Rhinolophus ferrumequinum: one gene and its partner. Each later gene encodes a partner of the first gene's protein in a complex. Links are inferred from orthologs where the notes say so. Each region holds a gene or a part of one and is shown in the gene's direction. Other genes may lie near its edges.

What was found.
Region 2: NHP2 (region 1) and DKC1 share a complex: the UniProt entries of both Homo sapiens proteins name them as parts of the H/ACA small nucleolar ribonucleoprotein (H/ACA snoRNP) complex. The link is inferred for Rhinolophus ferrumequinum from reciprocal best matches to the Homo sapiens genes NHP2 and DKC1.

Annotation. Positions count from the first base shown.
Region 1 is NC_046307.1:4,927,433-4,940,295, forward strand, and holds NHP2 (H/ACA ribonucleoprotein complex subunit 2), read left to right. Parts: upstream 1-7,580; 5' UTR 7,581-7,671; coding exon 7,672-7,831; intron 7,832-7,910; coding exon 7,911-7,980; intron 7,981-9,774; exon of another isoform or gene 9,775-9,902; intron 9,903-10,294; coding exon 10,295-10,400; intron 10,401-10,878; coding exon 10,879-11,004; 3' UTR 11,005-11,253; downstream 11,254-12,863. Other genes in the region: E3 ubiquitin-protein transferase RMND5B, read right to left, coding at 12,542-12,605, 12,692-12,846. UniProt on the Homo sapiens protein: Required for ribosome biogenesis and telomere maintenance. Part of the H/ACA small nucleolar ribonucleoprotein (H/ACA snoRNP) complex, which catalyzes pseudouridylation of rRNA.
Region 2 is NC_046284.1:5,795,775-5,808,184, reverse strand, and holds the start of DKC1 (H/ACA ribonucleoprotein complex subunit DKC1), read left to right. Parts: upstream 1-7,167; 5' UTR 7,168-7,333; coding exon 7,334-7,349; intron 7,350-8,153; coding exon 8,154-8,221; intron 8,222-8,662; coding exon 8,663-8,749; intron 8,750-10,105; exon of another isoform or gene 10,106-10,261; intron 10,262-10,557; coding exon 10,558-10,649; intron 10,650-10,862; coding exon 10,863-11,047; intron 11,048-11,617; coding exon 11,618-11,682; intron 11,683-12,054; coding exon 12,055-12,181; intron 12,182-12,410.

The DNA of each region.
Region 1 (12,863 bases):
CTGACTCCCTGCCAGGTACTGAGATCCACAGACAGTCTCTACCCTTCTGGATATCTCTGCGTTGTGGGACAGAGGGACCCCAACAATGAATACGGCTGCGATAAGCATTGATGGTGGCCATCCAAGTGGGCGCTGCTACTTGGCCCCTCCTGCCCTGGCTCCCTCCTCACCTCCAGGAATTTCTAGCACCCCCCCAACCCCACCCAGCCAGTCTCAGTAGGAGGCAGGTTTTCGCAGATCCTTTCCCAAGTTCCAGTTCTATATTCTTAGAGCTCCCAGTGCTTCCCCAACATGGAAAGCAGCACCAGAGTTCATATGAAGCCTCTGGGGAGGCCAGGCCTTTCTCTAGTTCACCACTGCCCCCCCCCAATGCCTAGCACAGTGTTTGACACATTCCAGATGCTCAGTCCATTTTTGGAATGAATGGCAAGTCCAGTAGGTGACTGTGGAGACCCAAACCTCCTCAGCATTCTCTCTACTGACAGTTTGCCTACTCCACAGACACTGCTGGCAGAAAAACTCTGGCCACCCAGAGTTCAAGCCCATGAGCACCACGCTGGCACCCTCTGCCCTGGCCTTAGCTGTAAATTGTGGCTGGCACGCCAGAATGTTGCTGCCTGGGGACCAGCTATGTAAGGAACGGAGCTAGCTCTATGGCATGAAGTCTGGCAGGCCTACCACTGTCAATTCCAGGAGGCCTAGGAACAAGGAAGAGATTTTCTGGGCACAGGAACAGAAAATGTGCCCATCAAGCATTTACTCAAGGATCCATTAAACAGTGGGAGGCAGCATGGTGCCCTAGAGAGGGGGCAGGTTTTGCGAACACACACACACACACACACACACACACACACACACACACCCCAACACCTCACCAACCTTTACCAAACCTTAAGAAAACAGGAGAGAGTCTTCAACAGAGGAGAAACTTCCTGAGTTTTGAGAGCATGCAAAGCCAGTGACAGATGAAAGCCAGTGACAGAGGGTAACAGATGAAGCAGGTGGCAGCAACCCAGGAGAGGTCGCAGGGGGCTGCAGAGGCGAGCAGGCCCCCACAGGCCCCAGGACCATGGGCGCAAGAGTCTGAATTGAAACAGCAATGGCACAGGTACCCACCGCCCCCTCCTCCAGGCAGCCCCAGACAAAACACCCATCTGGGAAAACTGCATTTTCGGTAGGAGTTGGTGGCCTGAAGGAGAGTCTACCCCAGGCTTTCATTGGGGACTGGGGCTGATGACAGACTCAGTGGCCATCGCCTCCCCCACCCCCCGGTAACTGGAGCCACAGCCCACAGCCCACGGCCCACGGCCCACAGCTTCCACACAAAGTACCCAACCAGAACACAGAGCGCCTCATGGCACTGCCTCAGCCTCCCATCTGTTAAGTGTCTGGGTTAGGCAGTCCCTGGGGTCCATGGGACTTCTAAAAGTCCAGTCCTCCCTTCTAATTTTATCTCCACCAGAAATCGGAGCCATATGCAGCTGCCCACTCCAAGTCACTGGCTGGGCAAGGGGAAGGGAGAGTCAGCACTGATGCCCAACGTTAAAAACTGCCCAGTGGCAGGACACAAGGCCCTCCAGGTCCAGCCCTCTGACCTATCACTACCCATACCTGTCCAGATGGCCCACAGGACTGGCTCAGCGTCACCTGATCCCATAGTCACACAGGGAGTTCCAGCTCATGCCCTCAGAGTTCCCAGGGTTATGGATCCCCTAAGAAGATCTGTTCATGTCCTCACTCCTGGTACCTGTGATGTGACCATATTTGGAAATAGGGTCCTTACAGATGTATCATGTTAAGATGAGGTCATTAGGGTGGGTCCTAATCCAATATGACTGGTGTCCTTATAAGAAGAGGAAAGAACGTCATGTGAAGACAGAAAGAAAGTCATGTGGCAATGGGGGCACGGACTGATGTGTCTACAAGCCAAGGAGCACAAGGGATTGCTGGCCACACCAGAAGCCAAGAGAAAGGCATGGACCAGATTCTCTCCTGGTGCCTGCAGGGGAAGCACAGCCCTGCTGACACCTTTATTTTGGACTTCTAGCCTCCAGAATTGGAGACAATAAATTTGTGTTGTTTTAAGCCCCCTAATTTACGGGACTTTATTAGGACAGCCCTAGGAAACTACTGCCACCAGTCGGTCCCCATAACTGATTGTTGAACAATTGAATACACCTGCCCACTCTCATGAATCTATCATCATGAGAGAAAGGAGAAGGGAAGCAGGCCCGCCCCTCACATTGGAGGGGTTCAGGGCAAGAGCACAGATGGAGCCCCTGACCTCCCCCTTCTATTTCTACCTGCCCCATTCTGTTCTGTACAGTGAGGGACCCACATGCACATGTGTGGATGCCCCAAGCCAAACGTCCATGCTCTGTCCACGACCCACCCACCCACACCTTGGCCTCCCTTCAGACCTCCAGGGACAGCTCTCCCTCTGAAGAGCAGATGGGAGAGAAGGCTGGGCCGGCCCTGGTAATGGCCTCAGTGCTGGCTGGACAGGGAATTCCTGCACCTGGAGGACTGGGGAGGACAGGGACATGTCCCCTTGGTCTTGTAGAGTCCTCACCCTGACCCTCTAACGCCCAGGGTGATGCCCTGTGGCTCAACGAGGAACCTCCACAACCAGCTCATGCCGCCACGCAGGGCCTTTCCAGGAAGCAGCATCTCATTCAATTGTCATCCCATTTGGAAGGTGAAAAAAACAGAAGCACAGTAAAACCAAAGCGCCGGTGAAGTGGAACAATGTGTCCAACGCTATAAAGCGAACAAACTGGGAATCTGGAATCAAATGCTGGTCTGTTTGACTCCCTTCCTCTGTCCACACAGCATGCTTTCCCTAGACTTGGTTTAAATTGGTAAACTGCCAAAGCCCTATTAGATATTAAAAAGTAAAAAACAAACAAACAAACAAAAAAAACAACCAAATTTGACAAACCAAGCACTACATCCATCAAAACAATTTAATACTAAAGAAAGAATAGAGAGGCTGGAAATGGACCCAAACACATATTAGAATCTAGTACACACAGAGGCATTTTAAATGAATGGATAAAAAGAGAAAGAATTCAATAAATGGCAGCAGGACAATGGCTAGCCATCTGGATTCGAGCTCACGGTTTTGAGCCCTGCAGACCTGCCTTTCTCCTAACACTCACATTAAACCTGATGGATCAAAAATGTTTTATATAAACAGTGAAACCACACAAGCACTACAAAAATTTCCTTCAAATACAAAAAGCTTTTCTAAAGCGGTAAGAGACACCCTATAGAAATACTATACAAGAATAAAACGGGAGTTAACAGAAAAAAGAAACACAAATGACCTGTAAAAATACGAAATACCCAGCTTCCCTCCAAACTAAAGAAATGTAAATTAAAACAAGACATCATTTCTCCCTATTGGATCATCACCACTCCTCCTCCCAGTAAAAAAAAAGGGTTGCTAAAACCCAGTCTTGGCAGGCCATGGAGAGATATTATTATGGTAACTGTAAGTCGTACCTTTTTAGAGGACAATTGGACAATACTGCATATACCAAAATTATAACGTTAGGAATTTATCCCTGGATACACTCACAAAAGTAACAAAGAGACTGCATAATATTCATTGCAAACTTATCCAAAATAGTAAAAACACACTAACGTCCATAGTAGGGCAGCTAAATAAATTGCAGAAATCCACATGATGCGATACGATGGAGGCATTGAAAGATTTATCTCTATGGTGGAAACAAAATTTTCCCAAAATATATTAAGTGGACATAAATTGCCAGAACAATATGTTATACTATTTAATTTATGTAAACAAATAAATATATATATACTTGCACATGTACACAAAAAAACCTAATAGTGAATACCTCTGGAGAGCTTAAATGGGAGCAATAGCGCTTAAGGAGGATGTTTAACTTTTTGCTTTATACTGTTATATACTACCTGAAATTTTCTTAACATAAACATTGTCACTTTTTATATAATACATTTTAAGATCCAAAGCCAAAACAGTGACCCTAAAGAAGCCCATTTTTCTGAAGTGCCACCCTGACTATTCGCAGCTGTGCTTGAGGAAGTTTCCATCTTCCAGAATCCCACTTGATGGTCCCTCTCGCCTTAGAATCTGGCCCAAAACTCAGGTCTCATTTCTGGGAAGACGCCAATTGCCACTAAGGAAACCAGGGGGGCATGTAGGTTTCCATCCATCATCTTGACTAATACTGACATAACTGGCCTACAAAAGAATTAAAATAGATTTCCAATAAATTGCATAAACTATATATAATTTTATTTTTTCTTCTACTTACCTGAACTTCAGCTCCTAGAGTAAGCATCTATTAATAGCTTATTGATAAGTAAAAAGTCAGAATACTCGTCCTCAACTAAAAAATGGGCAAAGGATTTGAATAGGTATTTTTCCAGTACCATGCAAACATCCAGTAAGCACATGAAAAGTTGTTCAGCATCATTAGCTATCAGGGAAATGCAAATCAAAACCACAATGACATACTACTTTGCACCCACTAGGATTGCTATACAGTAATGAAAAAGTCAGATCGCAGCAAGTGTGGGTGAGAATGTGGAGAACTGGAACCCTTGTACACTGCTGGTGGAAGTGTAAAATGGTGCAGCCACACTTTGGAAAAACAGCTTGGCAGGTCCCCAAAAAGGTAAACATGGAGTTACCATTTGCCAAAGCCGTTCTTCTGGGTATGTATGGAAAACGTGCCCACACAAAAGTGTGTACATGAATGTTCACAGCAGCACTGTTCACACCGCCAAAAGGTGGAAACAACCCAAGTGACCATCAGCAGATGAGTGGATGAAACGGGGTTTTGGACTGTTATATAATAATGAAGCACTGATTCAGGCTACGACACATGGGAACCTCCAAAACATTATGCTGAGTGAGAGAAGCCAGACAGAAAAGGCCACACAGTGTGTGATTGCATTTCTATGACGTGTCCAGAACACGGATATCTACAGAGACAGAAAGTAGAGTAATGGTTTCTTAGGCCTAGGGAGGATGAGGGGGTCAGAGGGTGATAACCAAAGGGTGTAGGGGTTCTTTTTGATGTGATGCAAATGTCCTAAAATTGATTGTGGTGACAGTGAATACCCTGAAACCACTAAATTGTACACTTTAAGTGGGTGAATTGTATGGTATGTGAATTATAGCTCAATTTAAAAAAAATCATCCTCCTAAATTTTTTAAAAGATGAGACCTTAGTCCATCTAGGTCTAACTTTCTCACTTTAGAGACTAGGCACTGAAGCCCACTGAGTTGAATGGCTTGCCCAAAGCCTTTTGTCATTTAGATCCCTGGTCTACTGCCTATTGGTCATTATGTCCTCACCCACTCTACAATGTTTCAGGTGAGCTCCAGTGGCCATATGAACACAATCAGTAAAGTCACATAAATCACCATGAATCTGACACACGTCTATGAGACTGGTGTTAGGAATAGACGGTGTAGCTTACTGAGGACATATTTGTTCTTGGCACTACCTTGTGTTATCGCTCAAAAAGCTGACACTTGTGACCTAGTCAGGCCAAGGTTCCCACACTTTCACTATCCAGCCATGTTTCATGACCTTTGAGCTAATATCGAATGTCAAGTCACAGAGCCTGAGCAAAGCACAGGCTTGGAGACAAGCAGACCTGGGTTCAAATCCAGCTTTGTGTGAGCTAGACAGAGCTATTCACCTTTATAAGCCTCAGGAAATAAATAAGGTATTCCTTGTGGGCACTTGTGGGCACTGGGTGAGATAGTATTACATATGATATGCTTGGCACATAAATGTTATTCCTTCCTCCTTCCGTATAAGAACTGAGAGGCCTTTATAACCGAGGCCTTGGTGAGGTCAGTCAAGCACATTGCTTGAGTTGGGTTTTCTGGGGAAGAAATTCTCCTCTGGACAGAGTTCATTGTGCCCCATAAACCCATCTAGCAGCACTTCTTCCCTCGGTGACCCTGGCACCTGTCATCTGTCCCACAATGCTGAAAACGTTGACAGGAATACCACTCAGAGAGAGAACACAGAAAAGCGCCCTGAGGCAGAATCCTGCCAGCTGTGTGCTCAGAGGCACTTGGCTTCCCAGGGAGGGCCAGGACTGCCACTGCAGGGCCCAGGAGCAGGGACAAGTCGGGGAGGGCTTGGGGTGGGCAGTCAGACAAAGCGGACCACAACCCCCAGTCCTAAAGCTGGTCCTAAAGCGTAGGAAGAGCTATCTTTTCTCAAGAAGTTCCAAAGTGAAAACATGTAAAAGATCAATTTTTGGTTACATTGTGCATACAAACTTTACTTTCAAATTATTTTTTATTGTTTATATACCATATTTTCATTGTTCAATTGATATGTGTTTATATTTGTGAAATTAGTTGGGGTCTAAGGTTAGGATGAATCGCATCCTGATTTTTCTTATTAAAATACCAAATTTAAAAACCTATTAGTAGTTTATTTAATGACTGCTTGCAGGGTTAAAAGGTAAAATTTTAAGTTGGCTTAACTGACCTGTGATCCCACGGCCACCTTGCAGACTTCTGAAGTTCCACTTTCTGGCTGTTCCACCATCACAGAAATGGCAGGCCTTCCACTGAATAATCAAAGGCAATTAATTTGTAGCAATTATCTAATTAATATCCAGCCAGTGTTCCTAGACACAGTGGAAGAAATATGTTGGAGATACCAAGAGCCACCCCAGTCTAGGCCTACTCTCCTCCCCAGCGTCACTGTCCACTAATCTTCTACAATAACTGCAAAATGGGGGCCTACTCAGAGCTGTCCCCACGCCACTCCGGAGTGCGGTTCCCAGTGTCCACGCAGTTTTCCTCCTCACCCCGCTAGCTGTCACCACTATGCCCTCGGTGTTATGAGGCCAGGCAGCGGTGGGAACCACGAGGAAAAAGGTTAGGGGGTGGGGGAGGGAAGTCGGCGGGGACTGCAATTTTAGATAAGGTGGTCATCAGGGACCCCCTCCCATGAGTAACATTTGAGCAGATCCCTGCGGGAAGAGGGAGAGATCTTCGGGCTCCCTGGGGAAAAGCGGCCCAGACCGAGGCGCTCCCTGAGTGGCCATCCATCCCTCGGCAGGAAAGTGAAAGCAGAGTGTGAGAAATGGTGCAAGAAAGCAGGAAACGATTAGCAGTGTCAGGCTTTACCTGAACCTTGGCACCTGGGGTACACCAACCAGGACCAGCTCAGGTTGCGCACTGCCCATCTAAGGGGGCAGATTCTACCGCGGTTTGGAATCGCACTGGGCGGACCTCGCATTCTCCCACCCAGCTCGCAGACGCAGCGATTTGTCCCTTTAGACGTGGTCACGCCCCGCAGGTACCGCCGCCTCCTCCCGCTCCCAGAGCGTACAGGTGACGCCAAACTCCGACTAGCCCCAGCTGGTGCCCGGGTCCCTCCCCAGCATCCCGCCTCCCTCCAGGACCCACCTCCCTCCAGGCCCCGCCCACGTCTCCGGTTCCTTCGGGGCCCGCGGATGACAGCCCGAGCCCCGCCCCTAAGCTGAGCAGGAACAATTGGTCTGAGTCCGAGCCCTCACTTCCTAATTGGTTGTGCTGTTTGACACGCTTCCCCAGAGCTGGTGACCGGGAAGTGATTTCTAAGACTTGGGCCGCGTGCATCGCTTACTGGGGAGTCGGTAGCCGCGACCGCTGCGATGACCAAAATAAAGCGAGATCCAGATGAGCAGGAGGCTCAGCCGGAGGCGTCCTCCGGGGATCGTACTTACCACGAGCTGCTGGTGAATCTGAACCCCATCGCGCAGCCCCTGGCTTCTCGCCGCCTCACGCGGAAGCTCTACAAATGCATCAAGAAAGGTACGGCGGGCGGCGCGGTGGCGCGTGGGGGCGCGGGTGGCGGGCCGAGGCCCGCGGACTGACTCTTCTGTCATTGCAGCCGTCAAACAGAAGCAGATTCGGCGCGGGGTGAAGGAGGTTCAGAAATTTGTCAACAAAGGCGAGAAAGGGTAAGAACCCCCTCCCGCTTGATTTTGCATTTCCAAGCGGTAATGAAGGTATCCCTACTATTTAGTAGGTGCTCGGTGAAAATCGGGGTAAGTGCTCTGACTCTATTAGAAGATAATCAAGCAGTCAGTAAATTCTCTTCAACACAGCTAACCTATACATCACCTAACTTACCCAGCCCAAAGGGACACCGCGGGGAAAGTGAATTCCGGGGAAGCGAATAGGATAAGCGAACTCTTCGGGTAGACCCGGCTTCATTCTTCATTCAGCGACTGTTTATTGAGTTTCTACTCTTTCAGACACTATGATTTTAATCAAAGTAAAAAATTGTAATAGGTTAACTATGAAGAAAAAGTGCTTTTGTGAGAATGATTTCCTTACCCTACATCTTTTCTGGCATTTATCAGAATCTGAAACTCATTTGTATTCTTATTCCATCTCCCAGTCAGGCCAGACAATAGGCTCTTTGAGAGAAGAGGATAAAGCCTCTCCCTGCTATATCCCCAGAAGTGTCTGGTACCTTGTAGGTGCTCAATAAATAAATATTGCTGGGGGGACTTGATGCTCAATGGAGCCTGACATAGGTGGGGGTAGCTGAGATCTGAATATATGGGATTAGTGCCGGGGGGAAGGGTTCTGCCAGAATAGGTCCCAGGGCAGGAGAGGGGAGGGGTGGACAGAGTGCCACCTTTTCATGGAGCTTTGTAAGCCGTAAGTTTTTGTACTCAGAACTTTGGGGCAACAATGAGGGTTAAAGCCAGGAAGTGACATAATTATGTTTATAACTTAAGAAGATTTTTCTGGCAACTTTGGAAAGGATCAAAGGTGCAAGAGTATATGGGGAAATTGAAATAGGAGGTTACTGTAGTCTAGAGGAGGTGAAGGATGATTTTGATTAGGTTGGGTATGGTGAAGATGGAGAGAACTAAAGTGGATGGATCTGAGAGGATTTTCAGACATGGAGTGAGGAGGTATGGGTTCTAGCTGAACAGACAGAGGGCCCACTCATTGAAACAGTGAGCAGTGGAGGGGACGGGCTTTGTGTAGGAAGATCGCGTTTGGTTTTAGGCAAGTTTTCAAGGTCCCTCTTAGACTTGTGACCCCTCTCCCCAGCAAAACTGTCAAACAGTCAGGTGGTTATATGGGCTGCAAGCTTAGAAGAGGGCCAGGATGGAGAGAATAGATTTGGGAGTTGTCGGCACATAGATGGCACTTGATGCCACGGCCACAGATGAGGTCAGAAGGTACTGAGAGGGCAGCCAAGGACCAGGTGTGAGGAGCACCAGGCTACTCAGAGGAGCCTGCAGAGGAGAGCCCACAAGGCAAAAGGCAAACTAGGAGAGTGTAGACCCAGTAGTTTGAACCAAGAGCTCTTTCCTGGTGTTTGTGGTGCTTGCATCTCACCCCTGGAGAACAGACTCTGCCTTCTGTCTTCAGGGCTCTGGAGGCCCTTGCCCCAGAGTGCCAACACCTTGCCAGCTAGAAGCCCTAGCTGAGGAATCTGGCAAGCCCTGTCAATTTGGGGACTCAGTGCATGCTTCTTAGCCTGGCACTCAAGGCCTTTGTGTGTGGTCCCTGCCAATCTCTCTAGCCTCGTCTGCCCGTCTCCATCCTGGATTCCAGAGCCATCCCAGGCTGCCATCAGCCAGCCTCTGTGTGTCTGGTGCCATTCTGATTCTCCTTAAATGCTTTCTCTGCCCCCTGCACTCCCACCCCCACCCCCACCCACAGGGCTGCCTGGCAGACATTCATCATCATTCAGCTTTCTGTTCAAGTGTGGCCTCCTGATTCTTCTTTTAGCACTTTCACAGGTCCTCTCCCAGGCAATGGGGCCAGGATTTGGTAGCTGATGCTGAAAGAAAACCCTTGATTGCATACTTGCCCTGGGGCTGTGCCAGTGGCACTTTCACTTAATGGGACAGAGACTGTTCTGTGACATCTTATTCAACATTGTGCCTTTCTCTCTGTGGCTCTAACCTTAGGTCTTCTCCCTTTTCATCCTTTGCTACACAATAACAAAATAAAAAGAAAATAGATAATAATAAAATAAATATTATTTCTCCTCCAAAAATAAATAAATAAATAAATAAAATATAAAAAAGAAAATAGAGATCATCTCTCCAGAGGAACACAGTCACCAAATACAAATTTGCACGCACTTTCAGAGGTTGGGTGACCCACGTTAATAACTGGGCTCCTTGAGGGCAGGGGCCATCTTACCCATGTCTGTACCCCCCAAGGCCCAGTCCACAGGTGGTACTTTTGACTGAAGAGGGAATGAGCAAGCTAGAAATGACAGTGTTTCTCCCGTTTCAGGATCATGGTTTTGGCAGGAGACACGTTGCCCGTTGAGGTATACTGCCATCTCCCAGTTATGTGTGAGGACCGGAATTTGCCCTACATCTATATCCCTTCAAAGACGGTAAGGAGCCCATGAGCCTGACCTTAATCCCCACTGGAGGGGGCTGGGATAGGAGCTGCGGCAGCAGGCCAGTGGGAAAGAGTACAGGCTCTAGAGCTAAGACGGGCCTGGGCGGCTTCTTGGCTGTGGCCATGCTAGTCCTGTTAGGTGGGTGCAGTGCTCAGAGGGGGTGTTCTGGGAACCTCACACATCAGGAGCCAGGTCTAGAGCACAGGGACTGGGGGGATGGCAGGAACCTGGAAAGCATAGGCCTTGCCGAAGGGGACAGCCCCTGCTGGGCTAGAGCCTTTTCACAGCTGCCACACGGGAATGTAAACCCAGTGTTGCTGGACCACTTGAAAGTTTGCTGAGTTTAATTGATGGCAACCAATTTGAAATGTTTTTAAATATAATGATGACCAAATAGCACACATCTGTGAGCCAGATTAGACTGGTGGGTTTGTGACTTCCTGGCAAACAGCCCTTCTGTCTTTTGCAGGACCTGGGTGCAGCCGCAGGCTCCAAGCGCCCCACCTGCGTGATAATGGTCAAGCCGCACGAGGAGTACCAGGAGGCCTATGAGGAGTGCCTGCAGGAGGTGCATGCCCTGCCCCAATCGGTGTGACGGACCTGGGCGGCAACCTGGGCACCTGCTCCAGAAGCTGCTGGTCTGGCGGCGAGCTGGCTGGCTACCCTCCTGCTGCCCACTCAGCATCTCCCCAGCCCCTTGAGCACATGTTTTTTCCCAGGAAGCTCCAACAGTTATTTTGTGAAGGCAAAGCCATCATCTTCTCCATAGTGCTGTTTCCTGATGAATTTCCTGGCATTCATTTCCAGAGACGAGGTGTGGGGGAAGTAAATGCTCACACTAAAATGTGATGCGTCTGTGGGTGTTCTTTCAAGCAGCAGCTGCTGGTGGGGCCAAGGAGTTGGTGGGCAGGAAAGAGTGAAGCAGCCTTTCTCACAGAGTGTTCAGTGCCAGTGCCCAGCCACCAGGCTGGTGTTAGACTCAAGCTGAGAACGGACTATTTGCTGCCCACCCTGAGCTTTTACCTCCCACTTCCAGAGTAGGTGGGAGCTGCAGGATAAGGCAGCTGAGCCCAGACCCCACTGAGCAGAAGCCTGCAGCCCCTATGAGGACACCCCAATTCCTCTTCTTCCCCCATGAGCCTTAAATGCCACTGAGAAGCTTATAAAAGCAATTTACCCACCCACACAGGGCATTTTAAATAGGAATATGAAGCTAAACTCAAAATCCCAGGCCATCTCTTCTGCTTGGTATAATGGCCCTGATAACCCAGACCCTCCACACATTTTAGACTAAAGGTACCCTCCTGCTCTCAAAGGCCCAGCACAGGACTCCGTACACACAGCAACCAGCCTTTAAGCACCCTGGAATAAACTGGAAAAAGCTTGGGCCTGAGGGTCAGATCTGCTTTAAACCCCAATCTCTCTCCTTTATAAGCTGTGAGCCCTGTTGGGCAAGTCATTTCATCTTCCCAACCGCCCTGCAATGATTTCTAATATGCGGGAAATGATATTTTATGTATGTATATATAAAAGCACCCTGCCCAGAGACTGACATCTCCCAGCTTTTTCACCCAACCAGAGACGTAGGTTGGGTTCTGCCTGACTGGGCACTGGCTGCCACGTTCTCCCAGCAACAGGCGCCAAGCCATTACCTATGTGCAGTGGATAGGTAGTAATTCTTTGTCAGTGAAGCTAAAGGCAGGCAAGGAAGAAGGCCTGTGAATGTACTTGCTGAAAGCTATAAAACAATAGCATTCAGTTCTAACCCAGACTATTTACAGTGGGCGATGGATACATACAGTTGTGAGGCTGTACAGTGAGAGGAGTGGGCACGGCACTGCGTGGCAGTAGGAACTGGCTGAGGGCAGGGATGGAAGACGTCTGCTGCTGCCAAGTCAGTGACAAATATAAACGGAGACAGCAGGATTGCAGAGGCCAGCATCTCACCCTCACAGCCAAGGAGCTGGCTGCCCGGTGCAGGTTGGTTCATCAACCTCCTTGGCCCCTGCCCGTGGTAGCACACAACCAATGCTCTGCAGAGAACCACAATCCATTTAGCACAAACACCTCTGTGAGACAGCAAGGCTCATGGGTGAAAACCCCTGGAAAACAAAGTTCCTTCCAGGCCGGAGTCAGAATATGATGCGTTTCCCATCTGCTGGGTTCTGCTCCATGGGACAGTAGGGACACTTCAGCCTGCAAAGGGACGAGAAACAAGTACGTCTCAGGCAGTGGCCAGCAGGAGAGCTAAGCCAAGCAGCAGCCGAGCACGGGGAACTTACTTTCCTCCATTAACGAGCTTGCTGAGTGCGTCTCGGGAGATAACGTGGCCACAGATGAGCTTGACGGGGGGGTTGGAATCAGAGGTCTGCTGGCGGAGGATGGGGCAGGCGAACACCGAGTGGTACCAGCACTTCATGCCTAGTTCGATCTCAATCTGGGGAGGCCAGCGAG
Region 2 (12,410 bases), on another chromosome or scaffold:
AAAAAAAGTAATAATAATCATGCATTGGCTCAACTCTTTAGTTCTTCTCACTCAGCTATTTCAACTTTAGCTGTGAGGTCAGAGGAAACCCAACCCAGAATCCTAAGTGTGTTCTTCAGTCTTTGTTCTATCCCAAATTCTGTACTTCCTGGAATTAAACCAAGTCATTTGGAAAAAAAAAAGTGACTCACCAATGGCAGCAGCTGGATTCACAGCTCAGGTGATTATCCTGAAGCATCCAGACCAAATCAGTGCTGGATACGCACCTGTGCTTGATTGTCACACAGCTCACATTGCTTGCAAATTTGCTGAGCTGAAGGAAAAGATTGATTGCTGCTCTGGGAAAAAGCTGGAAGATGGCCCGAAGTTTTTGAAATCTGGTGATTCTGCCATCATTGATATGATTTCTGGCAAGCCCGTGTGTGTTGAGAGCTTCTCTGACCATCCTCCTCTGGGCCGTTTTGCTGTTTGTGGCATGAGACAGATAGTTGCTGTGGGTGTCATCAAAGCAGTGATCAGGAAAGCAGCTGGAGCTGGCAAGGTCCCCAAGTCTGCCCAGAAAGCTCAGAAGGCTAAATGAGTAGCTTTTATCCCTAAAACCTGTCACTCCAGTCTTAATCAGTAGTGGAAGAATGGTCTCATAACAGTTTGTCTCAATTGGCCATTTAAGTTTAATGGTGAAAGACAAGTTAATGATTACAATGCATTGTAAAACTTTCAGAAGGAAAGGAGAATGTTTTGTAGACCATTTGTTTTTTTGTGTGTTTTTTTTTTGTGCTTCAGTTTTTAAGTTATTAGTTTTTAATGGAAACAACTTGACCAAAAATCTGTCACAGAATTTTGAGACGCATTAAAAGGAAATTTAATGAGAAAAAATAGCATGAAATGTTTTCACAAGTCCAAATCAAACACTTCTCAATTCATTCTACGAGGACGATATTACTCTGATACCAAAATCAGAAAAAGACAGTAAAAAGAAAGAAGGAAAACTACCGACCAATATGCCTCATGAATGGAGACATAAAAATCCTCAGCAAAATACTAGCGAGTAGAATTCATAGATACATTAAAAAAAAAAAATTATACACCATGACCAGTTGAGGTTTATCCCAGAGCGGCAAAGCTCATTCAATGTATGAAAATCAATCAATGCAATCCACCACATTAACAAGCAAAAGAGGAAAAGTCATATAACTATATCAATTGATGCAGAGCAAGCATTTGACAAAACCCAACACCAATTCATGACAAAAACTCTCATAAAACTAGGAATAGAGGGGGAACATCTATAGAAGACATATGACTAACATCATACTTAATGGTGAAAAACTGGACACTTTCCCCCTAAGATTGGGAACAAGGAAAGGATATCCACTCTTACTGCTGTTATTCAACATAGTATTGGAATGTCTAGCCAGTGCACTATGCAAAAAAAAAAATAATAATAATAAAAGGAAAGAAAAGAAACAAAAGTCACACAGATTGGGGAGGAAGAAATAAAACTGTCTCAATTTGCAGATGACATAATTGTCTTCATAGAAAATTCCAAGGAATCTACAGAAAAAAAAAATCCAATAACTAATAAATGAGTTTTACAAGGCTGCAGGATATAAGATCAACATACAAATCTCTACACAATTTCAAGACTTATTATATAGCTACAGTAATCAAGACTGTGTGGTATCGGTAGAGGAATAGACACATAGATAAATGAAATGGAACAGAGAATGCAGAAATAGACTCACATAAATTTGCCAAATTGGGTTTTGAAAAAGGTACAAAAGCATTTCAGTGTAGGAAGCACAGTCCTTTCAACAAATGGTGTTAGAGCAATTGAACTTTCATAGGCAAAACAAAAAACAAAAAAAGTTTAACCAAAACCTCACATCTTTTACAAAAATTAACTCTCAATAGATCATATATGTATATGTAAAATGTAAAACTCTAAAACTTATAGAAGACAACATAGGAAAAAAATATTTGATACCTAGGACCTGGTGATGAGTTCTTAGACATGACACCAAAAGCACAAGCCATAAAAGAAAAAAATTGATAAATTGGACTTCATCAAAATTAAAACTTTTGCTCTACAAAATATCTTGTTAGAAGTGTAGAAAGACAAGCTACAGGCTGGGAGAAAATGTTTGCAAGCCACATATCTGCCAAAGGACTCGTATCAAAAATATATAAAGAACTCTCAAAACTCATTAGTAAAAAAAACAAACACTATTAATCTAATTAGAAAATAGATAAACTACATGGAGAGTCATTTTGCTGAAGAGGATATAGAGGCAGCCAAAAAGCATATGGAAAAATGTTCAATATCATTAGCCATTAGGACAATGTATATTAAAACCACAATGAGATACCAGTACATACTTATCAGAATGGCTAAAATTAAAAAAAAACAACGCAGAATCCTCACATCGATTTCAGGACCCATGGAAGGAAGGAATCATGGCAGAAAGGCCCAAGTGGAAACCCCTGGAGCTCCACCTTCCTACCAAAGTATAAGTCAAAAGAAATATCACATACTTAGGGGAGAATGTCAAAAATTAGTTTCATTATCAAAGACTTGAAAAATGCAGGGAAGGAAATTCCTATCACATCCCCATTTAATTCACCAGTTTGGCCTGCACAGCAGTTAGTTAGGTCTTGGTGAATGTGGCAGTTTTGAACCAGGGCTCCAAAGTTCTTTGACACCCCTCGTGGAGAGGTGAGGTTGATGCCCCTTTCACTTGAACCTGGGTAGGCTTTTGACTGCTTCAACCATACAATACAGCAGAAATGATGCTATGAGACTTCCAAGGCCAAGTCACAAAAGGTTATGCAGTTTTATGCTTTCTCTGCCCTAACACTTGCTTTTGGAACCCTGAGACACCGAGTACAGAGTCTGACAACTCTGAGGCTGCCATGCTGTAAGAAAGTCCAAGCCACATGGAGAGGCCAAGTGTAGAAGGTGCCCCAATCCAGTGAAACCTGGTCTGCCAGCTGAATTCTCAGCACAACTGCAATCTGTCAGCATAACAAAATATTTGTTTAATGATACCAAGTTTTGGGATGGTTTGTTATTCCATTGATAGATGATGCTGAGGAATTCAAAGAGGATACAGTGGGAATGTCTTCTCTCTGCTCCATAATGTCTGATGGCTCGGCTGAGATGACTCAAGAGCCGAGGGTGACTGGAGGGCTGGAGGCTATAATAGTCTGGAAGCTTCCTCACTCACATGCTTGTTGCCTGTTCTAGGATGCCTATTCTGGCTATTTCATATGAATGGAATCATACAATATTTGTCCCTGTGTCTCTGGCTTATTTAATTTAACATGATGTTTTCGAGGTTCCTCCATGCTGTAGCATGTATCAGTACTTTTTTCCTTTTTATGGCTGAGTAATATTCCACTGCATCGATAGACCACATTTTGTTTCTCCATTCAACTGTAGATGAAGATTTGGGTTGTTTCTACTTTTTGGCTACTGTGACTCATGCTGCTAGGAACATTCCTGTACAAGTCCCCAACATCATGTTTGAGTCCCTGTTTTCAAATCTTTTGGGGTATATACACCTAGGAGTAGAATCACTGAGCCATATGGAAACTCTGTTTAACATTCTGAGGAACTGCCAGACTGTTTTCCCCAGCAGCTGCACTGCTGATGCTGGGATGCTGCTACTCATGCCTGACTTTAAGACTTGGTTGGTCAAACAATGCCTAGTGTATGATGTGCAGCTCAGTTCATAAGACCACTTGTATTAGATGGTCAATCAGGAACTAAAGAAGTCAGGAACTTTTCTTCCCAGCAAATTGGTGTGTGTGTGTGTGTATATACGTGTGTGTGTGTGTGTAGGTCTTAGCTTTATTTTTATCCCAATACCAGAGGCCCGAGCTATGATTTTCTAATCAAGTCATAGGAAAGGCTCTGTGTAGCATCCTTACAGGGAATGCCACGTCCAGAAAGACGCCCACCAAGCATTGTGTTTCTTTCTTAGTGACAGTAGGTTTGAGGTATAGCAAATTGCTTCTCTCTTCAGAAGGACCATCTCAATATGCCTCAGCCTACTGGATACCTAGATGTGTTGGGTTCTTGAATTTTCCTGGGACCTATCTCTCATCCTGTGGTGAAATATTTGCTACTTCTTAGCATTAGGCCCAATCAACAAGTCATCAATGAAGCAGACCAGCATGATGTCTTGGGGCACAGTGAGATAAAGTCAGTCCCTGGGGACTTAATTATGATAATGTACCAGAGAATTGAAGGGACAGTGCTGGGGGGGGCCTCCTTTTGACCTTTCTTTGTATACTTGTCTTCAGTCCTTGAGTCAGGAAGCCCCTGTGGGAATTCTTCTATCTGCTTATTGTGTTTATTCCAATTCTGCAATCAGGAACTGGGGAAAGAGCCACAGGGGTGCCCACAGCAAAATAGAGATAGATTAAGACTCCATTTCTGACTAGTGGACTACAGTGGCATTCTATGTCCCCAGGAGAAAGTGGGAGGAAGGTTTAAAATACAGTATATACTTGTAGTGTTATGGGTATCTGGCTTCCTCTTTACTTGAGGGCTCTGAGCCTGTGGACTGATTGGGTCTCGGAATTAGATGAGGGGCCATGATTTTCCATTGTGGTGATTCAAGGCAGGCTGCCATTCACCAGAACTAGAGATTCTGTTGTTGGTTGTAGGGGTTATACAGACCATGGGCTACTATAGGTAGCCTACTAACAGGACACCATGATCAGTTAACCACCCCAAAAGATCCATGGGAAGTAACCATTCTGGTTCCAACTGTCAGTCCTGCTGCCTATCATGATACCCATCCTATTTCCGAGAATTAGTGCCACCACTTGCAATGTTTCCCACCTCCTTTCCCCAACTAGTTTTCCAGAACCTTTACCAAATTTTGTCCAAGTGTTTTGGTGAAAGGAATGTCCTTTGAGCCCTCTCAGGGGATGTCATTAGAGGGTGTGCCAGTGGGATGCACATAAAAATTCCATTCCAACATTCCAACCTCCCTGAGAATTGGGACTGGAGACAACGAGGGGTGGAAGGGGTGGGGCACAAGGAGAATTGGCATTCCATTGCTCAGTAACTGACCAGCTGATTTCATTACAAGATCTCCAAGAAAGGCAGGATCAGCCTCATCAGACAGTGGGGGAGGAGCTGCTTCTGCTGGTAAGGGAAGGTCCATGGGGTTTCTAGGTTCAGAAAACATAGATTCATTCAACAAATTCTTACTGAGCATTTTCTAGGAGCTGGATATATAGCGGTGAACAGAATAGACAAAACTTTCCTGGCTTCATAAAGCTAATATTCTAGTGAAGAGATAAATAATAAGCCAGGTACACTTAAGGAACAGAGAAGAATGTGCCTGGAGTAGTCCTGAATAGCCAAGAGGCAGTGTGGTGTATTAGTTTCCTAGGGCTACCATAACAAATTACCTCAAACTGGGTGGCTTTAAACAACAGAAATTTGTTTTCTCACAGTTCTGCAGGCTGGAAGTCTGAAACCATTCCAATCTCTTCCTCCATCTTCACATGGTCTTTGTCTCTTCTGTGTGTCCTTGTCCTTCTTTTCTAAGAACACTTGTCATGGGATTTTAGGTCCACCTGGGTAATCCAGGACGATTTCCTCTTGAGATACTTAATTACATCTACAAAAACCCTTTCTCCAAATAAGGTCACATTCATAGGGTCTAGAAGTTAGGACATATCTTTTGGGGGGACCACTTTTTACCCCGCTAAACAAGGGAAGCAGAGGAGAGACACGGCCTGAAGGGCTTTGACCAGAGGCATGGCCTGACTTACAGTTTAATGGCTCTTTCCAGCTGCTGTGTTGAGAAGACACTATAGTTGGAAAGAGTAGAAGCAGAGGGAACTGCAGGAAGCCACTGAAAAAAATCTAGGAGAACCATAAGGATGGCATGGACTACCGTTGAAAAACAATCAGGTTCTGCATCTCTTTTGAAAGCAAAGCTGACAGGCTTAGCTAACAGATCTGTTGAGTGTTGGAAAAAGGTGAAGCCCATAGAACCATCAGTGAATACCTCAAACTTATTCAGCCAAACATGTATCAGTGAAGTATTACAAAATAATGGGGCAAGTAGTGAACTACTCATGGATTGGTTGATACTGGGGACTTTGGTTATCTATAAAAAGTCAATTTAGATCATTATTATTATTATCTTGGCATACACCAAAATAAATTCCCGATAGATGAAAAGTTACATGAGGAAAAACTAGTCATCAGTCTTTTTTTTTTTTTTTTGCCACAGTAAAATGAAAGTGCAAAATTTCTATTATTTGGATGGTGGAGGAGGAATGGAAGAAAAGCAGTACCTGTCCTCTTTGTTCAGCAGCAACTCATTAGAAAAGATTATTGACAAACGATTCCATTTAGAATCGCAATAAAGAATCGAATAACTAGGGATCAATCAAGTCCACACTTGAGACGGAAGAGCGAGAAGAGAGAAGAGCAAAGACAGAAGGGAAGAGGGCTTGAACCAGAAGCTGCTACTTCCTGGCTGTCCAATTCCGCAGACATTAGTGGCCTGTGACTATAGAGCACTTGCCAGGGACACCCGTTCGTGGAGTTCAAACAGAAGTGTACTGTAAATGTAAAACACATCTGAAAGACTTGGTACAAAAAAAAAAAAGTAAAATATCCCATTCGTAATGTTGTGTATTGCTTATATGTTGAAATGATATTTCGGATCACAGGGTTAAATAAAATTCGTTATTAAATTTCTTTTCCCCGTGCGGCTGCTGGAAAATTTAAAAATTCACGAGTGGCTCGCACTTTATTCCTATTGGCCAGCGCTGCTCTAGCTGGATGGCAATTGCAAGCAGCAAAGGGCTTTCAACCTCACAGTGGCTTAACGTCTTTATATTTCAATCGGGACTGATCAGACAACAACCTTAAAGGGTTGGCGTGAGGAAGCAACTTGCTATAGTTAACAGCGTCCTCAGCCAGGTGTCCACACCCGGGTTAAACCCAGTAAAGGTAAGTGAACAGCGGCCGGGGCCACGCCCACAGACTATGGGCCGCCAAGGGGAGCTAAGTTTGGGATCCCAGCCGGGGCTGCCAAGGGAGGGATCCAGGCCCAAAGCACTAGCGCACGCGCATGCGCAAGCGCGTCATCCCTGGGGCCGAGCCAGCCAGATTGTAGAGGCGTCCCGCGCGCGCCCCAGATCCGGCCCCTTTCTCCTGACCCCGCCGCACGTCGCGGCACGCACGGGGCGGTGCAGAAGTGGGCGGGGTCTAGCGGCGCGGCCTGAAGGCGGCGGGAGTCTGTAATCCTTCTCTTGGCGGTGGCCCACGCGGCTCGCACGCTGTGTGGGCAACATGGCGGACATGGAAGGTAGGGGACGCTTCCTCGCGTTTGGTAGGGCCGGGTGTCTCCGGGTGTCTCCGGCCGGGGCCAGCTCTGCTTGCTCGGAGGGCCCAGGGAGGTGGACGGCGTCGGGGCCCGACCTCTGCTCGTTCCAGCCGCTGGATTGGCCCGGTCGCCGCCGGGCTTCCTGCCGGCTTTGCTCCTTGGCTTTGGCTCTGCGGGTGAGGGCAAAAAAGCGGGAGGCGCTCGTGATGAGGTGGCGCCGCGAGGCCCGGGCTTTCCGCTGATGGCACAGCCCCTTTAGGGCCCGGGTCGCCATGGAAAGGCGTTGGCCGTGCGGGGGACCCTGCGATGGCAGGAGACCTAGCAGTACCTGTGCCGCCGGTAGCTCAGACGCCACGGTCTGCGCCACACGATGAGGAGAGGAAAGGGTAGTTGGAACGGGCGTGGAAGAAAAGGGGCCGAGGGGCTCCAGCGTGGGCGTAGGTCCAACAGGCAAGAAAGTTCAGGAGGTCACAAACACGAGCGGACAGTCAAGCGATCACTTATGGAACTTTCCGGCCTCGCGGGCCGAGCGCTTCTGCGGCGTGTTTAAGCCCCGCCACGGCCACGTGGTGAACCGATCGGAAGCTGACATGTGCGACTGCTTGCAGTCAGTTACTGAGCCGTGCAACCCACGTATTTGGCCTTACACAGTTTGTTTTCCCCAGTAATTCTATGCCAAACATCCATTTAATACCTGCCCTGGTTTCAGTCTCTATTTTAAACTTTGTTGCCTTTATTTGCGGGGATAACTCCCAAATTGGGATTTGTTTGTTTGTGTGTTTTTAGTGCTTATTTTGCCGAAGAAGCATAAGAAGAAAAAAGGGGTGAAGTCATTACCAGAAGAAGATGTAGCAGTGAGTAGGAATATGTTTTACTTTGTTTTGACTAAAAAAGACCACTTAGACAACAAATTACAGAAAACTTTTCTAAAGGTTTTAAAGAAATTTGGTGGTTGTGTAGAAACTACACAACCCCAGCCAACCTAAGCGTCTCCTATGGGGTAGTTTCCTAAATGGTCTTGGTCTCGCCAACCCCTTTCCCTGCAGTTTCCTCTCTTATCCCACCTGCAGACCCACTATCCCTCTTTCTCTTTAAATAGCTGTATCCATCTTGGGGGCACTTAATTTAACCTTCTGACATCCTGGCTCATTTCTGCTCTTTCCCTTGGAGGGTCTCACTGAAGAGGCGTAGACTACCTTGTTTTCTATTGAAACGGCATAGGCTTCTGTGGTAGTAATGGAATTGTTCAAAATCAGGTGGGAAGTCTAATAGGGTATGTTTCTGTCCCATGGAAGGAAATACAACACGTTGAAGAATTTCTTATCAAACCTGAATCCAAAGTGGCTCAGCTGGACACATCCCAGTGGCCCCTGTTGCTAAAGGTATGTGGTTAAGATTGTACATCACGTGAGTGCTTAATACTGGCATTCTTTGCTAAGGAAATGCCCGGTGATATGGTCTAAAGCAGTGTTCCTCAAAGTGTCTGAGATGAAGGACCAAGTTAGTATTTTTATTTCCAATGCACCCAACACTGTCACAGTATACATTTAAAATGTTGAAATGACATCGAACTGCTCTCAGAGTTTATAAACAATTAGTTCTTCAGTCCCTGTACTTAACGCCACCTTACAGACTCGTGCCAATTTGTGGGCCACGCTTGAAGTAGGACTGCTTTAGTGCTTGAGAAGCATGGGCTTTGAAGCCAGACCAATTTGGGTCAGGCAGTGTGTGAACTTGGGCCAATCATTTAACCTCTTTGAGGCTGTTTGCTCATAATAGCTTCTCTTAGTAAGACAAGCTGAGGGCTGTGGGAGGTGATCCATGAAATGTGTTTAGCCAGTGTCTGGTGTGTAACATGTCCTCTAGAAATTATTGACTGTTGTGTTGGGCTGTAAATAGAGTAGTAATGATTTGATTTACAGGTTTCACAAATGATTTAATGGGCACCAGCTCTGAGATTAGGAGACAAGGTTAAGGGAGACAAAGTTACTGAGAACACCCCTTGACCAAGTATTTTAATAAAACGTGTATATAATGGCAAAAGAATGAGATTTGCTTATATAATTGAACACAGTTGAGTTTCTGCTTGACCAGATGTATCTTCCATTTAGATAGCATCTGCTTTTCTGTTGTAGGCCCTGGGAATATGTCAATGAACCTGGTAGGCAAAGTCCCTATTGTCATGGAACTCAGAATGTAGGGGTGGGTAGGTGATAGTTTAAAAAATAACTGCTCTTTGTGTAAAAAATGATTGCTATTTGTGGTACTACCATGATGAAATGAAACTGGGTGATATGAAAAATGGGCTTCAATTGAGGGGAGCTCCTTCAGACCAGTGGTTGAGCCTCAGAAAGGAGGAGAGTGAAAAGGAGCAGACATGAGAAAAAAAGAGCTAGGAGCTTCTGGAGCAGTAACAAGCTAATTATGTTTGAGAGATATTGTTGCCAGTCCTCAATTAGGCTATCTTTTGTCCCTGAGAAAATCAAAGCTAGTTCATATTTTATTCGTAAAACTGCACAGTGATGCCCAGTCTGCTCTGTGGTACCCCAAGAAGTCTCTATTAGGTCGGTGCAAAAGTAATTGTGGTTTTTGCAATTGTTTTTAACCTTTTAAACTGCAGTTATTTCTGCACCAACCTAATAGAAGAGTGATCAGATTTGCCTTATTTATTTATCCATCTATCCATCCATCCAGAATGTGTTTATTGGGATGGTTCCTCATCCTGATTCAGGGTGCTTTTAGTGCTGCTGCCTTCTGAAGCAGCATCCTTCTGTAAGCCTTGCTTTTCCTCCTGTAGGCTCACAGAAGACAGTGGAGCAGCCTGCACACAAAACTAGTGTTTATACATGGCTAAGGACAGTGATTTTATAGCCTCCTGGGCATTTCACAGCCATGAAGGGGAGTTGGGGTTCTGCCCCAGGTGCTTTTTCTTGCGTTCCTCTTCTCTTCTGGAGAGGATGTTCTCATGGGGAGGTGGTCAGGAAGAAATTTGTCTTTTTCTTACTCGGGTGAATTTTCCAGTATGTAAGCAGATTTAGTCTGTCACAGCAGATAATGAACATATAGGAGCAACATCCAAGTTTGTGTACAGTAACAGTAACCATGTCGCGGTTGGTGGTAGTGCTAACTCTGGTTTTACATATATTAATGGCTTATTAAGTTTATTTTGTGTTGTATCGTTGCTTTCTAGAACTTTGATAAGCTAAATGTAAGGACGACACACTATACACCTCTTCCTTGTGGTTCAAGTCCTCTGAAGAGGGAGATTGGAGATTATATCAGGTAAGTGTTGGATCAAGCACTGTTCAAACTTGAGTTCTGTTCACAATAACCCGTTCACATCAGTTATTCAAGGAGGTAGTGGTATCGTAGAATGGCATTGCCCTAAACCGCATAGAACCTGTACCCATGGTCAACTCTTAATTTTTACTCTTCAAATTTAGTTTTTATTAGAGGATCGGAGCTGATGGCCCAGTAATTTCTTTTCCATTCTAGGACAGGTTTCATTAATCTTGACAAGCCCTCCAACCCCTCTTCCCATGAGGTGGTAGCCTGGATCCGACGGATACTTCGGGTGGAGAAGACAGGACACAGTGGTACTCTAGACCCTAAGGTGACTGGCTGTTTAATCGTGTGCATAGAACGAGCCACTCGCTTGGTAAAATCACAGCAAAGTGCAGGTACGTGGAAGAGGTGGCTAACTTGAGACTGGAAGGCTTTGTGCATTTCCTTTCCCTTCTACTTACGTGTTGGCTCTTGGAAATTATTTCTTTCATAATAAAAAGACCCTAAGCAGGGCTACTCTTGCTTTCTGTTCATCTTCTGTCCTCTGCCGGACCCTGGTTTGCCTTTCTTGGAGTTCCAGGTACTGTGTGCTGTGTGCACACTGAGGTAGACCTGCGTCCGACCAGCTCTTAGTTTATCACTCCAGGCTCCTGAACTCTGTGCTGCCGCTTCGGCCTGAAGTGCCTTTCCCTCATTTTCATCAGGGAATATTCTCCTACTTGACCTTGCGAAGTTTTTTCCAGGCAGGCTCTACACTGGGTACTCCAGCTGTCCCTGTGAGCACACTGAAACTTGAACCCTGATGAGAGAAAGTGTCTTTATTCCTTTCCCATGTCTGTACCATGCAATCTTAAGGAGGTCAAATTGCCTGCTTTTCCTGCTGCACAAAATGGGAGTGATATGAGTATATAAAAATACAGAAAACTCAGTGGCCGCACCTGACTACTCTTTTGTCATTTTTTCAGGCAAAGAGTATGTGGGAATTGTCCGGCTACACAATGCTATTGAAGGGGGGACTCAACTTTTTAGGGTAAGTCTGTAATTGTAGGGAGGGCATCCTTTGGCAGTGTGGATCTCTGAGCCCCTAGACATCTGGAGACAGGTCAGCTTTCCTGGCTGGCGTCTCTTGTGCCCCTTTCAGTGGGCTGCCTTAACCAGCCTGGACAGGTGACTACAAATGGCAGGGGCACTTCCGGCCATGTCCCTTCTGAGGAGAGGGTTCTGATCAGCACTGAGCCATCTCTGTGTGGTTGAAGAAAAGCAAAAAGCATTTTAGATCTTAAATGATTGAAAGAAACCTGTGCATTTCAGTTGTGTGCTTAAACTCCCATAATGTGCCCTTTGATCTTATTTGAGAGTCCATGCAATGAGAGTCTTTATTGTGGTTTGTGCTTATTCTCAGGCCCTAGAAACTTTGACAGGTGCCTTATTCCAGCGACCCCCACTTATTGCTGCAGTAAAGAGGCAACTCCGAGTGCGGACCATCTACGAGAGCAAAATGATCGAGTACGATCCTGAAAGAAGATTAGGTGGGTCATTAGGCCTATGAGGAATTGAATTAACATAGACGGGGCGGTGGTGGTGTAGGAACGCTTCCTTGGAAACTGCTCTGTTGGTAAAAGTCCATGCCCTTAGTATATGGTGCAGTTGTGGCCTGTGTCTGTCGTCTCTAGTCTCACTGGCTCAGGTCTGGGTTTCTCAATTGGTGGTGTGTTTACTTTGGAAAATATTTACTAGTTTTGTGTGTGTGTGTATGTG